Macaca mulatta: one gene and its partner. The protein of the gene in region 2 binds, or shares a complex with, the protein of the main gene of each other region. Links are inferred from orthologs where the notes say so. Each region holds a gene or a part of one and is shown on either strand. Other genes may lie near its edges.

Region 1 (4,696 bases), about 20 Mb from region 2:
GTGTTTGCATTTATGGCTGGTAGTTGGAAAGATGGGGCACAGGGAAAGGTGGGACACAGAGGAGGGAGGGAGGCAGGGCCTGGCTGTGAGGCTGGACTAGGGCTGCTGCTAATTTTGGCCTAATGGCTTCCTGGGACCACACGAAACCCTCCAGCCCTACCCCCAGGGGAATGCAGGGTCAGTGGGGAAGGGAAGTTGTGGGCGAAGGCAGCAGCCTGGTAGGGCATCACCTGCTCCTCACAGGGCACCTGTCCCAGGTCATCTCTGCCCACCCAGGCTGCTCCCACAGAAGCAGCGTGGGGGCTCAGGGTTTCCCAAAATCTCAGTGGGGAAGCCACAAGGTGAGGGGCTAGGAAAGGCTTAGACAAGTGCCTACCTTCTCCCATGCCCCAGGCCCAGCTGACCAGCCCCTGCCTAGAATGCAGTAGGTGTGTAAATATCTGTGAAATGAAAAACAAATGGGGCTTTGAGGGGGAAAGGGCTGGGTGGCCTGGATGGAAGTCCCTTCCCCCAGGAAAAGCTACTGAGAACAGTTATTTTTGCCCCTGCTGCCTGCTGGGGTAGGGGGACAGTGGGTCCTGCCAGGGACCTCCGGACTCTCTCTTCCACACAGGTGGTTCGGGGTGCTCCTCAAGCTTCAGGCTAGTGTGTGTGTGTGGCGAGGGGCACAGGGGAAGGGGTGACGGTGATAATGCGGGGGAGGGGGAGGCATTTCTGGTTCCCAGTGCCTCCTTGGGAGACTGAACGAGACTGGAGAGACCAAAAGGACGGGGCACGCGGCAGAAACAGGGGAGTGGGGTCCGGGTGGCACCGGCACGCACTGCGCTAGGGCCGGGTGCGCAGCCATTCGCCGCACGGTTAGCGGCCGCTCCCAGGGGGCAGTCCTGGCGGGACACACAGTAGGTGGCTCGGAGACTGCTATGTAGCCGGCGGCAGGAGCTGCTGGGCCCCGAGGTGGAGACCCAGCCCCACCGGACTGGGGCGCGCCGGGCGGTCAGGGAATCCCTGGCCCGGGGTCTCCTGGCCCGCAGAGCCCGCAGCCCCAGGCGCCCCCATCCCCGCGCGCCCGGGCCCGGAGAGCGCGCGAGGGCACAGGCTGCGGATAGGGGGAGGCGCCCAGACCGGCCGCCCCCGCCCCTACCGCGGGTCCCCAGACCCCTCCCCTAGCCTAGACCCCCAATCCCGGACCCGTCGGCCGCCCCGCCCCGGCCGCCCCGCCCCCGCCCCGGGCTGCATCCAGGCCCCAGTTCCCAGCCGGGGGCTGCGGGCTCCCGCCGCCCGCCCCGCGCTCCCCCCTCGCGCCCGGTGCGGCGCCCCCCGCCCCCACCCCTCCCACCTCCCCACCCACCCCGCCAGCCCGTGACCCTCCCGCCCGCTCCGGCACCGGAGCAGCCAGCGGCCACCGGCTCCGGCAGCGGCGCACAGCGACTCGGTGCGGCTTGGCGAGCACGACATTCCACGGGACCCGCGGAGCCGCGTCGTGGTCGCCGCCGGCCTCCCGCACCCGCACCCTCTCCGCCCGCGCCCTGCTCCGTGCGTCCCCCCGCGGCCGCCCACGGGACGGCGTGACCCGCCGGGCTTTTGGTGCCCCGGGGCCGCGCGCCATGGGCAGCCCCCGCTCCGCGCTGAGCTGCCTGTGAGTACCGCGCCGCCCTGCCCCGCCGCCCGCCCGCCGCGCCCCTCGCCTCACCCGCGCCTCTCTCTCCCGCCCGCTTTTGTCTCCCACAGGCTGTTGCACTTGCTGGTCCTCTGCCTCCAAGCCCAGGTGAGGAGGGATGCGCGGAGAAGGGGGCCGGGCGGGCCGGCTGGAGACCCGGGTGGGCAGCGCCGGTCGGGGGCACTGGGACTGACTCTGCGGCCGGCGCCGGAGGGCTGAGGGCACTTTAGAAACCCAGCCCCGAGCCAGCCTGAGGAGGAAGCTGAGGCACAGAGAGGTAGCACCCCGCCAGAGGTCACACAGCGAGTGAGTTGCCAGGATAGAAGCGAAAGTCTCGGAGCCCAGCACTGTCCCCCATGTATCCTCGCCGGCTGGGGGCACAGGGAACACTCAGCCGCCGAGGAAGGGGGCAGCCGGGGCCAGGAGATGGATGTTCGATGCCAGGGGAAGCCGGGTGACTACAGCAGAGATCCTCTCCACGCCCCTCGGGGGAGGCTTGTGGCCGGTTTGGCCCAACGATCGGGTGCCCAGGTCCCCTGCACTCTCAACATTTGCTCCGTAAATTTGTCTTTATAAATGTCAGGGGTCGGGGAGCGCTGTCTCCCTACTTAAAAGCGCCCTGCTCCTCTAGGAAGGCCCGGGCGGGGGCCCTGCGCTGGGCAGGGAGCTCGCTTCCCTGTTCCGGGCTGGCCGGGAGCCCCAGGGTGTCTCCCAACAGGTGGGTCCAGCTTTTCCCTGGGGCTTGTTTATCCTGGGCTGGGTCTGCCCGATTTGCCTGGGTGGGGGATGGTGGCCTGGGCTGGCATGTTGGGGGAAACCCCAGCACCTGCTGGTGGCTTCGGGCAGTGAGGGGGACGCAGGGTGATGGGGCCACTCGGGCCCCTGGGCGGAGTAGCATTATAATGGCGTATTGTGTATTTTTCAATTTCCTAAAGGTAACTGTTCAGTCCTCACCTAATTTTACACAGCATGTGAGGGAGCAGAGCCTGGTGACGGATCAGCTCAGCCGCCGCCTCATCCGGACCTACCAGCTCTACAGCCGCACCAGCGGGAAGCACGTGCAGGTCCTGGCCAACAAGCGCATCAACGCCATGGCAGAGGACGGCGACCCCTTCGGTAAGGCGCGCTGAAGGTAGCTTGTGGGATGAGCGGCGCCTGCACCGCCAGTCCCAACTGCACTGACAGGGGGCCTGCAGGGTCCCCAGCTCAGAAGGGAAGGAGTTAAGGCAGAAAGGTGTCTTGAGGGTCAGCTGGGGAAGAGAGGGCTAGGGAAGGGACCTCGGGGAATACTTGGCCACAGGTGCCCCCTTCCCTGCCCAGCAAATGAAAGAATCTAGGAATCTCCCTTTACACGCCCCCACCTCATACACCCCTCCCCAGCTGCAGGTGGAGGCAGGGGGTTCAGGGGGAGGGGGCCTAGGTTTAAGGGAAGCGCTTGAAAGAGGATATGTCGCCAGGGCCCACAAAAGGAGAGTGGGAAAGAGAAGGGAGAGAAATCCCCTCAACTCTCCCAGTTGGAAAAGGGGTTTGCTGGGAACCTTTAAATACTTTGATCAGAAGGGTCAATTACAGGTGGAAACTGGGCTTGGAAGGGGCTCTCCCTGCTTCACTCCCCAGGGAACCCAGGCGGCTGGGGCAGGGCTCCCGGCTCCCTGTGGGGTGGCCAGTACGGAGAGCTACTGCCGGCAGAGAAGCTGAGGACTGATTGATTTCTAAAACATTCAATATTCCTGCCTTGAAACGGGGCCAATTTCCAGAGTCCTGTACCAAGAGAAAAGCAAACCCTCTGGGCGGCTGGTGTTGTTTTTAGAGAGCGATTATTGTGAGTTTAAAAACCTTTAAATAATGACCACGTTAAACAAGCATGAAAGGAGAGGGGAAGACTCTATTAAAATGTAATAAAAAGGTGAGGCATTTTAAGAGCTAAGAAGAAAAATGAAGAATGATATAAAACAGAAAAAGAACGAGCTTTTTTTCAGATGTGGAGTTTGAAAGGAGTTGCAAGTCTGTAAATGTTAAAAAAGAGGTTCAAGATTGTTCTCTCTGAATCTCTGGAGAGACCCCCGCGTCTGGCAGAGCGATTAAAACTCTTCTTACTTTCACCTTTTTTAACATTTCCTGAATACTTTCTCCTCTTCTTGAGCCAGTTTGGGGGATCGAGTATGTCTCGCTGCATTTTTTCTGCATCGACGTAGCTGACTTCCCTTCAAAGCTGGAGGAGGAGACATAATTTTCCTGGGATAAATCTGTCACTGGGGTGGAAGAATAGGTTTGAAAATGTTAAGCTTTCCAAAAGCCCGGTCGGTGGAGCTGCCGTAAACTGCAGCCCCAGCTCTCCAGATCCGAGCAGATTCAACCGACCTGGGAGAGAGGGGGCTCTCTGGGGTGGGGGTGGGGGCAGCCTGCCTGGTGGCCGAGCCCCCCTGCTGGGCTGGCAGAGCAGGCCTACCGTCCCTTTGTCCCTCCAAATTGGCTGCTTGCTGCCCTTCTCAGCTTCTAAGGAGAGGAGACGAAGGCCTGGCTCTTCCAGAGTTTGCTCTATCAGAGCAAATGGCCCAGCATCCTTGGATTTTGGGGAGAAAGCAGAAGCCAAGCTGATGTGGGGGAATTCATCTTCAGACATCAGAGGAAGTCTGATGCCCACTTCTCTCCTTGGCCATCTAAGAGGTTTCCCACCTTCCCTAGTCCCTGCCCCACAGCAGGATAGGAGCTGGGGGCCTAAGAACAGAGGCTCAGGGTATTCAGCCAGGACTGGAGGAGTCTGGGGAGAATAGCAGAGAGGTCTCAATGGCTTCTTTATCCGCCCCAGGAAGATGCAGAGGCACCTACTTCATCCCTGCCTGCTGCATCTGGCCAGAGTCCGCAGAGTGGCATCCTCTCACTCATCTAGTCAGCATCCTTCCTGGCCCTTAAAAACAGCTGCCTCTTGCTGTGGAAGGCAGAGCAGGAAAGGGATGAGCAGACTGGCTAGGTCCAGGAGGAGGTGGGCGGGCAGGGAGGTGACAGCTGCATTTCCCTGCTGACTTGGGGCCAAACTGG
Region 2 (4,209 bases):
TTCTGTGGTGCCTAACTGGCACTTCTTAACCCGTTTGCCTGACAGTGCTAGCACTTAACTAAGAATGCAGTTTGAGAGAAACACTGTTTGGAAATACACTGCTTGTAGATGGATCATCGAGGACTAGGAAGAAGGCAGACATTGGAAGTTGATATAGAAATGTGCTAAATTAAGTAATTATATGTATACTCACACATAATACCTTTATGTTTTTTCTTTAAGAGAAAAACTGTAGTGACATAACGGTATAACCAGATATGTATAAACTTAAAAGGTTATTAAGGAATATTATAAGCTTTATGTGTTATGGATCTAATGGTACTATATTATAAGCAATTCAGTCTGTGTATTTAATGCATTGGTTTGTTTATGGACTAGATGGTATTAAGGAATTCACCAAAACTTTTTCGGGCCAGCCTACTAGATGAACATCAGTTTCATATGGAATTGTGTTCATCTGGGTTAAATTATCCTGTGGAGTCTTCCTTTGGAAGAGCCTACCCATGTAAGACTGAAGCGTTGTCACTGTCTCCTTAGAAACAAAAGTGGGCGTCATTGATATTTCAGAACTTTGTATTTGGTTTGCATTCACAGACCATCATGAAAGATAATCCTCTCACTGCGGGTACAGTTGGTCATCCTCCACTCAAATGTCTAACAGAATGTGGCCTCATAGCCTGCCCTGTGCAACTGGGTGTCAGCCACTCACTGGACTGCGGATGCCCACTGAGGCTAGAGACAGTGACTACCCGGGTCCTGGTGGTCAAATGATGAACCCCCTGGTTATTCATTTTCATTTGGGAGGGGCACTTGGCAGACCTATGGCCCATGCCATTCTGCAGGATTGAGTTTTTGGGAAACCCACCTTGCCTTGAGAATGGTCATCACCTTTTGGTTCCTTTGGTTGTGCTATGATGCATCAGTCTCGTGTGCTAACTCTGTGGCCTGCTTATCTGTTCCTCCTCCTGTGATCTGCAATTTAGCTCCTGGAAGAGAAAAGGAGATTACAGCTTCCCCAGACTACCTGGAGATAGCCATTTACTGCATAGGGGTCTTCTTAATCGCCTGTATGGTGGTAACAGTCATCCTGTGCCGAATGAAGAACACGACCAAGAAGCCAGACTTTAGCAGCCAGCCGGCTGTGCACAAGCTGACCAAGCGCATCCCCCTGCGGAGACAGGTAACAGAAAGTAGATAAAGAGTTTAAAGAAATTTACTCCTCCCCCATGACCCAGCCAGCTTGTGGATCTTTTGCTCTGTTTTGATGCCATCGACTTCTGTGAGCTTCCATGTGCGAGTGATTCTGGTGTGATGCTTGGCGGTCACCCAGTTAGTGTTTGGAGCTTGGAGAGTCTAGTCATAGTGCGTTGCTTGGATCAATGGGGTCCAGTTCCAAGGGCAAGAAAGGACAATAGTGTCAGAATCAGAAAACTAGCCGGGCGCGGTGGCTCAAGCCTGTAATCCCAGCACTTTGGGAGGCCAAGACGGGCGGACCACGAGGTCAGGAGATCGAGACCATCCTGGCTAACACGGTGAAAACCCGTCTCTACTAAAAAATACAAAAAAAACTAGCCGGGCGAGGTGGCGGGCGCCTGTAGACCCAGCTACTCGAAGGCTGAGGCAGGAGAATGGCGTAAACCCGGGAGGCGGAGCTTGCAGTGAGCTGAGATCCGGCCACTGCACTCCAGCCTGGGCGACAGAGCGAGACTCCGTCTCAAAAAAAAAAAAAAAAAAAAAAATCAGAAAACTAATTAGCAGGACTGGAAATAACTGGAGGCAAATACCCCTGTGTGTGTTTGATCAGACTCAAGTACAGCGGTCTCTCCGAAGCCTTAGCCACATTGGTCTCCTGTGATCTAATACCTTTTTTAAGATAAGCATGAACATTCGCTTGGGACTTATGCCACTAGTAGGAAAGAGACTCTAAGTTCTCTGACTTATTTTTTAAAGTCAAGATCAGAATCTTATGCCCTGGGGGTGCGTCTGGACTGTTTGATTTAAACTGGTGCACAATAACTTTCTACACTGAATTTTGGCTTAACCTCTTTGCAACTTACAATATAATTGTATGCATCTATTATGTCTCATTGTTAGTAGTTCACAGGTGTGGCGGTGATTTATTGGTAGAATATTTGTAAGGAACCAGCAACAGATTGTTTTTAACCCCCAACTTGGTCTTTGGTGGTTGCTTTTTGCTTGTGTGCCTCCTGATTGGTTTAGTTTTGCTCTGGGGGAGATGGGGCAAGATGGAGCCTCTGCTATAAACCAAAGCCCTGCATAGGTAGGTGGGACAGGAAATGCTTCAGCTGTTTTCTGTTTGTTCACAGAGATGGAAGCGGAAGGCAGATGTAGATGTAGAATGTTTACAAAAGCATTTGAAACTTGGTTGTGATAAAGGTTATTTTGAAATAGCAAGTAAAACAGCAAACTCATTGGCTGTATTTCAGTGTGTATTTTAGTAAAATTTACGGGGTACTTGTTAAAATTTCAGATTCCTTTGTCTCAGCCCCAGAGATTCTTGTTTAGTCATCTTGGATAGGGCCAGGAATCTGCATTTTATTACAAGCCCTCTGGTGATTTTAGAATGCACTTTGAGAAACTCCAGGTTAATCCCAGGCATGGCTCTCCAGGGACTTTAGGTAGGAATGACATTTTCTGGACAAGGCATTAGGAAGGATTAGGAACCAGTTGGTCAGCAGTGGTTTTGGCATGGGTCTGGCTGTTCACAACCCAGCTCCAGACTCCCGGCTGAATGGGTCCTTGTTAACTTCTCTGAAGCCATGTTGCAAGCAGGTCTGTCTTTGTGGAGGCGGAGGATAGAATTTAAAGTGTGTGTCAAGTGTAGGCGAATGACCAAATTGTGTTAAGAGCATGGAAAAAAGGGGCCTATTGGGTCACTTCTGCCACCAAGAACGCTGTTGTCATTTTGAGTGACATGATTATCTTTCTTGGGGCCAGGAGAGCAAAGATGGGGCCAGCTGGCCAGCCAGTTTCTAGGGGAGTCCAGTCCTGAGATAACTCTTACATGGTTTCTATTATTTTTTTTCTAATAGGGAAAAATGCTAACTTCTGGAGGCAGCTTGTAATTTGGCATAGCTAGGCCACTGCCCCGTAATTATCTCATCATCTTTTTTTCTGCAACTGTTACAATGCTTTTCTTTTTACTTAATATAAAAGGGTAAGATGCCCTTAAAATCCCCCTGACTCAGCCACAGTCATTGTGTTTTCTTTCCCCAGTGTCAGGTGGCTTTTCATCACTGTCCATCTAAGAATACGGTTTGAGGAAAATAATATTTGGAAATGCACTACTTGTAGATGGATCCTTGAGGACTAAGAAGAGGGCAGACATTGGAAGTTGACATAAGAATGTTCTAAATTAAGTAATTATATGTATACTCACATGCAATGCCATTTATATTTTTTCTTTAAGAGAATTCAGCCTGGCCGGGCGTGATGGCTCATGCTTGTAATCCCAGCACTTTGGGAGGCTGAGGCGGGTGGATCACCCAAGGTCATGAGTTCGAGATCATCCAGCCTGACTAGCATGGTGAAACCTCGTCTCTATTAAAAATTCACAAATTAGCTGGGTGTGGTTGTGCATGCCTGTAGTCCCAGCTACTTGGGAGGCTGAGGCGGGAGAATCGCTTGAACCCAGGAGGTGGAGGTTGCAGTGAGCCAAGATTACGCCATTGCACTCCAGCCTGGGCAACAAGAGTGAAACTCTGTCTTAAAAAAAAAAAAAAAAGAGAGAGAGAGGATTCAGCCTAAGTTGGTCCTTTTTCGTATCCTCCCTGTGTTACCAGAGGGAACATCAGAGTACCTTCCTCTTTTTCTTCCCTCCTTCCTTTTATTGATTCATCATAATTTACTAAGTGCTGGGTATAAACCAGGTTACATGTAAGACACAGCCTGTCACATTCACCGGTGGTTCCCAGGTTATTTGGTGGTAAATGCCTGTAATCCTAGCTCCACAGGAGGCTGAGGTGGGAGGATCCTTTGAATCCAGGAGTTCAAGACCAGTCTGAGCAACACAGCGAGACCCCAACTCCAAAAACCAAAACAAACAAACAAACAAAAACCCAAAGTGGAAACAAAAGAAAAGAAAATGTAATAGTAGGGCCAAGGAGTATAACAGAAGCAGAGAAAATGGGGCAAATGCCGGTTCCCTGGAAAAATACATCTGCGTGAGATTAATTTATTTGGGGGAAT

Evidence for each region.
Region 1: the proteins of FGFR2 (region 2) and FGF8 are in contact, whole or in part, in a crystal structure (PDB 2FDB), measured with the Homo sapiens proteins. The link is inferred for Macaca mulatta from reciprocal best matches to the Homo sapiens genes FGFR2 and FGF8. Residues at the interface, in NP_000132.3 of Homo sapiens: Glu160, Lys161, Glu163, Lys164, Leu166, His167, Ala168, Val169, Pro170, Asn173, Asp247, Val249, Arg251, Ser252, Ser282, Asp283, Ala284, Gln285, Pro286, His287, Ile288, Gln289, Ile291, His293, Leu309, Val311, Leu312, Lys313, Ala314, Ala315; in NP_149354.1 of Homo sapiens: His53, Val54, Gln57, Asp62, Leu64, Ser65, Arg66, Leu68, Ile69, Arg70, Tyr72, Tyr75, Arg77, Gly80, His82, Val106, Glu107, Thr108, Thr110, Phe111, Gly112, Ser113, Val115, Thr148, Glu149, Ile150, Val151, Leu152, Glu153, Asn154.

What each region holds. Positions count from the first base shown.
Region 1 is NC_133414.1:113,856,529-113,861,224, reverse strand, and holds the start of FGF8 (fibroblast growth factor 8), read left to right. Parts: upstream 1-1,390; 5' UTR 1,391-1,604; coding exon 1,605-1,636; intron 1,637-1,728; coding exon 1,729-1,765; intron 1,766-2,288; coding exon 2,289-2,375; intron 2,376-2,592; coding exon 2,593-2,773; intron 2,774-4,696. UniProt on the Homo sapiens protein: Plays an important role in the regulation of embryonic development, cell proliferation, cell differentiation and cell migration. Required for normal brain, eye, ear and limb development during embryogenesis.
Region 2 is NC_133414.1:133,602,295-133,606,503, reverse strand, and holds part of FGFR2 (fibroblast growth factor receptor 2), read left to right. Parts: intron 1-983; coding exon 984-1,180; intron 1,181-4,209. UniProt on the Homo sapiens protein: Tyrosine-protein kinase that acts as a cell-surface receptor for fibroblast growth factors and plays an essential role in the regulation of cell proliferation, differentiation, migration and apoptosis, and in the regulation of embryonic development.